Linked DNA regions of Oryzias latipes. The protein of the gene in region 1 purifies or fractionates together with the protein of each later gene. This does not show direct contact. Links are inferred from orthologs where the notes say so. Each region holds a gene or a part of one and is shown in the gene's direction. Other genes may lie near its edges.

Region 1 (3,919 bases):
ACTCAGATGTACAGTTTCATAATCTACAACCTCATTGGCAAACGGCTCTATTTCAAGTAATGGAAGCAAGAAATGTAAGCAGCAAGACATTTGGAATTAATACAGATAGAGACTAAATTACTGAACACAAAAATGGCCTTTTCTCAAAACATTACAAATAGAAATAGTTTGTTTTCTTCCAGTAGCCGATTAGCCAATTAGACCGGTATACACTAATCAAATCAACATTACTGGTTATTGAGGACTGATTGAATTGTTCAGATTTTTTCCGGTAAATCAGTCCAACCTAGGGCTGCTTGACCACGTGACACCTCTTGCGCCTAACCAGAAGACGCGCACACGTCACTAATGAGCCCCAATGAAAACAACACGAGTTATGTTTAGGCTGCTCAATGACAAAACCACGGTTCACGCTAATCCCTGCTTTTAATTTCAGATCTTACCTTTTTTCTTACCCGCTAGTTGTTATTCCATGCCTTGTTAATCCATAAGAATCTTCAGTCGTGTTAAGTGGATATTTGTACGCAGCCACTGCCAGCAGTAAATATAGCTGCACAAAATGTTACAGCAACTTCTAGAACTTCTGCAATATGTTGCTGTTCGACTAAAATCTGTTATTGTGATTGAAACCGCATCCCTCCCCGTGAATTAATCACCCACCACACCAGTCTCAGTGGTAGAAAAGAACAAACACTCCCGTTATCCGGTCAGTGATTTATTTTGGTTAGTTCCGGGAACAAAAAGCGTCCGTGGCAACAACCTGGAAGTAGCTCGATGAAAACTTCCGCTCCATGGGAAATACCAACTAAAAGTAAACCAGTCGGGAAAGAAGTAAAAAAAAACACGACAATGTCCTTGTTTTATTTAGTTTACTTATACGTTGAATATAAAATTTGTGTTCAAATTTGATTTTTTTCTTAATTTCTTCCTGTAAATATTGTTTTTTGTTGTGCGAAAAAATATCGTAAGGACGAATTTCCCCCATCTTAAGTAGTTGGCTTTTCCGTGAAGCTGTGACTCTGCTTAAGCGGTGTAGTGGTTGAAAGATTCAAATAGAAATGTTCTTAAGCCAATATTATCTTTAAGTACTTTATTTGCATCTCTGTTACGGAAGTTTACCATATTGCTGGATATTTTCGCTACGACATAGTTGTCCACATCCAGCTTTAACAGCTTGTCGCCTGTGTGGCTGAGTTTTTTTGGCGCGCCATGACATGAGAAGTCATCATCAGTTGGGAATGAGGAAGGTAAAGCACTCTTTAACCACCCTTTTCAAATTCGTTAACAAATTCATACTAAATAACCCAGAAAATAATTACAATAATCCTGTAAATTTAGTGACTCCGAAGAGCTAAGTTTTTTTTTAAAGAACATGTTCGACTATTCCAAAAACGTCAGTTTGACGAAACACCCTCAGCATTTGAAAATGGTACAGTCGACATGTTTAGCACTACTAGCAGGTTAAGATTCTGTTTTACTATATCACATATTCACAAAATCTATTGGAATTGATTTCTCTTTAGCTGTTAAATCACAGGAAAAAGAACACTGATGAATGTCACTATTTTATGAGAGTGATTGAATGTGTCCACAGCAGATTTTTTGTGGGCTTTATTTGTATTTTAAATTAGAAACTACCAGTAGAATTAGATTTATTTACTTATTTTTGACTGCATACATACCAATAAGTGCATAGACTTGTCAATGTGTCTTTAGTTTCAGGTGTAAACCTGCAAGTGTATCTGTCCGTACTGTTATTTTACTTAAACCTTTTTCTCATGTTCCAACTTTCCTTGAAAACAACACTTATTGTATTTAAACATACTGTACAACAGAATTCAATTCAAGACAGTACCAGTCTTGGAGCAGAAACAATTTGTCTGAATGTCAAATGTCATTCATGCTATTGATGCATAAATAGAAATAAATGTTCAGAGAAGTCATCTGTAAAAATGTTTATGAAGTCACATAATATATGTATTACTGTATATAACACAATATGATTTCCTTTCTGAATTTCAGATACCACTTCCTGCATGGAGAAAATGGATTGAACTAGTTTTAGTTTTCAAGCTACATTCTTTGCTAATTTTTTTAAGCAAATATTTAAAAATTGACTATTCTGCTGCCCGACATGTTGAAAGAAATAATTTTGAAAATATATTGAAGTTGTCTCAATGACAGTTAACTGACACCTGTGATAATAGTGGCATGCTTGGTTCAAAGTACCCCTTCTGGTTTTTCTTGTAGTGTCAACCTATCTGTGTAACTCATGTGGACAAACAAGAAGCAGTTTACAGTGTTTTCCAACAAATGGTCGAAACCAGTTTATCTGTCATAACATCTTAAATACGTTAGGCTATATTCGGCTTATTCATTTATTTATTTACTTTCAGGATGGAAAGGTGCAAGATTTTCCAGATCTCTGGCATAAAAAACCGTGACAAGAAGAGAGTTTTGGTGAAAGGGATTCAACAGCTGGGAGGAAAATACATTGGTGGCTCTGTAAGTAGTGTTTCCAGCTCAACTCAATGTAGTTTATTTACACAGTGTATTTACAAAGTACCAATTTACACAGTGGTAAGTGGTCCTTTATAAATAAAGGTACGACTCAAAAGACAATAAACATCAAAGTGAGCTGAGTTATTTAGAGTTATCTTAATCCAGTTTAGGCCACGTCTTCCTAATAAACCCAAATTCTCTAAAGTGAATTTAAAATTTCCTGCATATGTGACTCATCAGAGTTTTGCATTCTTCCCATACTTATACTGAGAGGAAACCTCTCTAAGTGAAAGATTAAGAAGAAACGTCCAGCAGAGCTAGACTTAAGATGTGACTGGTTGAGGTCTGAAGGGACAGGAACATTTGTTTTAAGGAAAAAAATAATAGATTTGCAACTGGGATAAGGGAAAAAGGAGGAAGACAGACCAAAAAAACTTACAACATATCATAATGCAAAAAAGGCCTTAATACCAAAGAGTTACAAAGGACTATTTGTAGAAATGTATACTTTAATGGAAAGAGAATGCAGATCAAATGTGTACAACAAGAAAAATGAGAAAAACAGCCAGTGTGTCTTGACCAGTATCTTCATTTGTGTATTTATTCCTCATTTAGATATTGTTTGGGAGAATTATTTTGACATTAAAACATGTTGTTTTGTATTTTTTCCACATGAATTGTTTGAAATAAGGTTAAGGAAACATTTTTGGATTTTATGCTTCGAATTAAATTCGACTCAAATAAATATTACTATTATTTACGCATGTTTTCCTCTCATTCGATCACTTTCAATTCTAATGCAGCCATTTGTTTCCAGGTATACAAGAATGGCATCACTCATCTCATAACACCCCAGGTTTCCCCCAGTGAGAAATTTCTGGCTGCATGTGCTGCAGGTGAGTTATAATCATTGTAATGCTTGATTTTATTTTTTATTTATTCTTTTTAGCTTTTGATCAAACTAGCACCTTTTATTAAAACACCCACTTCTCTCCCACCAGGAAAGTGGGTTGTGACACTGGACTATGTTGTGGATAGTGTTAAGAATGGCTCCTGGCTGCCGGAGCGATCCTACGAAGTGGCCATTTCCACGGCCTCCTCAGCTGCCTTCTACCCCGTCAGGCAGTGGAGGGAAAAGGTGGCCACTGGCAGAATGACGGGGGCTTTCCAAGGCTGGAGAGTACTCCTTATGGTTCAAGAGCCCCGCAAAAGAGCCATGTTCAAACGGTGATTTCTGTCTCAACTGGCTTATCATGTGAATACATTAGAAAGCAAAATGATGAAAATGCTGTTCGTTATTCACATACAGGCTGTTGATGGCAGGCAAGGCAGAGGTGTACAAATACCCTCCCCCCTCCTACATCTCCATCACTCATGTCATGGCAAAACCTGTCACGGATAACTCAAAATCCCACAA
Region 2 (3,890 bases), on another chromosome or scaffold:
GAAACACAAAAAAAAAAGCGGGGCTAGAGTGGAGTGGCGCTTTTCACAGGGCGTCCGCAGAGCAGCTGGTCGGTCCCCTATGAGCTCCTAAGCTTTCTCTCAGCAAAACACCATCTATGCATGACGTAAACCAGAGCAGTAGTGACACACGATCGGAATGACCGTTTACATGATCAACGATCGAATAAACGATCGGCCTAACCCACCTATCTCGATCGAAGAGAAATTTTGATCCGAACGAGTCTGATTGGGGCACACTATTCCGAACGGCGCGTTTACATGACGCATTTTCCTTCCGATCAGGCGTTCTTTCCGATTACTTTTGCCCATGTAAACGCAGCTATAGACAAGTGACCTTTTTTTCCGTCTGCTCCTCATTCACACCGATTTGAATAAAGAAACACTCAGAAATGCAATTTTAAGCTTAGTTTTCTCTAAATGTCCCTCACCATGAGAAAAAATGGCACAAGAACACGTTAAAAACACCAAAAACAGGATTTTAATCGGAATGGGTCTTTAAGGTAACGGGGGTTGGGGGATCTGTTGATTATTTCCCCAGCATACTTTAAGAATGATACTTGGTTGAAAAAAAAGGTTAATTTTTATAAATGGTGTGTAAAACTTGTGTTTTTGATAAAATTAAACTTCATAAATGAAATTAACCCTTAGCACTTTAACATTGGGAGTTGGGTCATCTGGACCCACTAGACAGTGCACTAAACCTTTTTTTCTTTTTTCGATCCTCACTGGTGTCCATGGATTACATGAAATCTTTCCACCTTTATCCACCTTTGTCATGGTAGGGAGAACACGTCAATGTAAGGGTGGGGTCATCTAAGATAGCACAAGGGTTTAATAAAATACTGATCAATGCGACTCTTTTTTATGTCGAGACCTGAAACCGGACGGCCCTGAACGCACCGCGGAAGTTCCGCTGTGACGTCAATGTCGATCTTTAGAGCGGGACTGCAGAGTAGAAACAAACGCCTTTAGCTAATTTCAACATAAACAGACTCGACAAATGAACGTTAGTTCTGAAGTATGGCCCATCACATCGAAGCGGATCTACCAGCAAGTCTTGCATGTTTGAAAGTAAGATATCGCTTCTGTTGTGGTGCTTAAAATAAACCGGGTTTGTTAGATGCTGACTAGCTGCAAGAACAAGCTAGAGGCATTGACTTGCCGTTGGATAAACGAAGTTTATACAACACTGGTTCAAAAACCCACTCATTCACTGTCATTTTAGCAGCAGATTCAAGGAAAAATAGACTTTTCGGTGCTTGATAGTAGTTAGTAAGGTCAACTGTGGTTCTAATGCAGTAACGCCAACAACAATTCATATTACGCAAACACAGAGGGCTTATTTATTTGTGTACGTATATTGTTTTACAAAAGTTTGTACACTGTAATCCAAATTTTTAAACCCGCTTGATCCTGCCCGGGATGTTGGAGATTGGCGCTTGAGGTGAGGATGGAGCGAACTTGAAGAAGAGGGTTGTCATCCAGTTTTTGAGTCTGCTTGTGCTTCTCTCCAGCCAAAACCCAGCAGGAGCCTTAAAACATCAGCCCACCTTTTGTTAGTATTTGTATTTATTAGGGCTGTAATGATTTATTTGAACGATTCAATTCATATCATAATTTGTGGTTGCTGATCTGATCCATAGTTGTTATTGGTTCATTTTGAACGATTCACTGACCTAATAGATCCAGAACTAAACTTCAACCAGTCAGTGTGACTCAGAGACAAATACCTGGTACTGAGTTTTATTTAATTTTGAAACAGTTTTAGGACAGCATAGGTTGATTCCATTAGGAACTCGTCTCAGACAGATCCATCTGTTTGGATTGTAGAATTATAGATCAATAAGGTGGATTAATCGTTACAACCCTATAGTATTTCTGTTTTTGTAACCATTACGGTTTGAGTAAACTAACGACAGGCCAGGTGTTGTGTGGAATCATGGTGTTAAAAAAAGAAGAATTTCTGTTTTTTGACTGCAGCAAATACGTTTTTTAAAATAAAAGTACATCGGCCAAGTCAGATCATCTTCCTGCAACCTAGTTGCTTGAATTGAAAATGTAAATAAGGCAAGCCAAAGATATTTTCTGTTGATACGACTCATTTTCTCTTAATTTACGGCAGTTACCCTCATAACTGAGTGAATGCAGATGTTTAGAATCCAGTATAAAAATATAAGGTTGTTGAGCTTTTGCAGATAAACATCATTAGCACTTTCCTTCAGAACAGCAACTATTGTTGCATTGTTACTTAAGGATATAAAAAAATCTTACCAAAGAATAAAATGAATGGTTATAAAATATCCCTTAATTATTTTAACTATTATAATTTGTGTATTAGACATCAGTTTGAACTTTTTGGTTAATACAGTACAAGTAAGATACAACTAGGCAAGGAAAAATGCTATTATATGAAAAGGAGGGTTACACAGTCTGTTGAGATATAAATTATTCAGGAAAGACCTAAAAAAGCTCATGCAAAAAACAATTTGTTGGTATTTTAAAATTGTGGCATTTAGTATGAGTTTGTAAAGATTATTGTTGTGTATGCAATAATTTTAATACTCTTAAAAGCTCGGAAAGGCAGCCTGAATTTATGAATAAGCTAGGAAAAAATGGGATTGTTATTTGAAAATATACTGATATTTTTCCAGAAGGATGGTCATTTTTATCTTAGAGGTTCCCGCCCATAATTTATCCACATATAGTAGTATATCTCATTACATATCCTACATAAAAGCCTGTTTTTCTTTTTAATCTAGAATGAAATCCAGTTTTCATTGCCACTTAAAAATTGGACACAAAGTCACAGAGGCTTCAGGGATATTTCAGGCCTGCTGCTGTTAAATGTACCTCAGATCACAATCATTTTTTAAGAAAACCTTCCAGGAAAACTTGCTTTGGAATTTTGAATTGGTTTTCCTGAATAACGAGAGATATTGGCTCTTTAAAACATAAGGAAAATAACTATAACTGCACATGTTTTCACTGATTTTACAGTCTCGAGTTAGGGGTTGGTAGTTCAACCACAACTGCTGAATATGTTTTGAATCCGATTATTGAGGACTTTTGGGATGTCTCTGAAGGATTGACTGAATTCACTGACAGAGCAAATGAAGTGAAATTTCTTTACAGAACATCCACATTATATAGGAAGTATTAGCCAACCATTTTAACTTAAAAGACTGAGAACTTACCTCAAAGACTGTCTGCAAGCAAAGCAGTCCTGCAACACGGACTCAGCCAAACCTCATATTTACTGTTTTAGAGTGTACTCTTTCATGTTTTACTATGGCTTTGAGTTACCTGCCTGGGGACTGATGATTAAAAAAAACTCTAGTACTTCATGTTGATCAAACAACTCACTGACAAATATAGGATTTGTTCAAACCAAGTCTTTGAAAAGCCTCCTTCTGGTCATTTATACTAACTTCTAAATTGCAGCGAGTGTGGAGAGGAGCTACAAGGTTACTAGAAAGGTTTACAAATGGAGCATCTTTGAAAGTTCAGACTCTATGGTGCTGGTTAATACTTTGCCTTATTTTGTGATCAAACGTTGGATGTTCCCTTTCTCTAAGCTCTTAATGGATTGGACATTTCCATCACTAAGTAGTGGGACAGACTTCCTCCTAAGTATATCGTTTCAATCTGAGCATTGAAACATTTTAAAACATGATAAAATGATCTGCAGGCACAGAATTTGTGATACACAAGGAGCGTCTGGCTGTTAGCTGAAACTATCCGACTGCTGTGATGCCTTAAGGAAGGGAGTTTGAACATCAAGGACACTGCATCAGCATATTCACACCAGCTTTTCGATTTTGGGACTTTTGGGTTTACAGTTAACACAGACATATTTGGTAGCCTCGCTC

What was found.
Region 2: the proteins of slf1 (region 1) and rad18 purify together in Homo sapiens (affinity purification with mass spectrometry; 4 studies listed by BioGRID and IntAct, with this or other methods). This does not show direct contact. The link is inferred for Oryzias latipes from reciprocal best matches to the Homo sapiens genes SLF1 and RAD18.

Annotation. Positions count from the first base shown.
Region 1 is NC_019867.2:15,910,684-15,914,602, forward strand, and holds the start of slf1 (SMC5-SMC6 complex localization factor protein 1), read left to right. Parts: upstream 1-846; 5' UTR 847-1,247; intron 1,248-2,396; 5' UTR 2,397-2,397; coding exon 2,398-2,505; intron 2,506-3,319; coding exon 3,320-3,398; intron 3,399-3,503; coding exon 3,504-3,729; intron 3,730-3,811; coding exon 3,812-3,919. UniProt on the Homo sapiens protein: Plays a role in the DNA damage response (DDR) pathway by regulating postreplication repair of UV-damaged DNA and genomic stability maintenance.
Region 2 is NC_019863.2:2,756,499-2,760,388, forward strand, and holds the start of rad18 (E3 ubiquitin-protein ligase RAD18), read left to right. Parts: upstream 1-928; 5' UTR 929-1,041; coding exon 1,042-1,092; intron 1,093-3,890. UniProt on the Homo sapiens protein: E3 ubiquitin-protein ligase involved in postreplication repair of UV-damaged DNA. Postreplication repair functions in gap-filling of a daughter strand on replication of damaged DNA.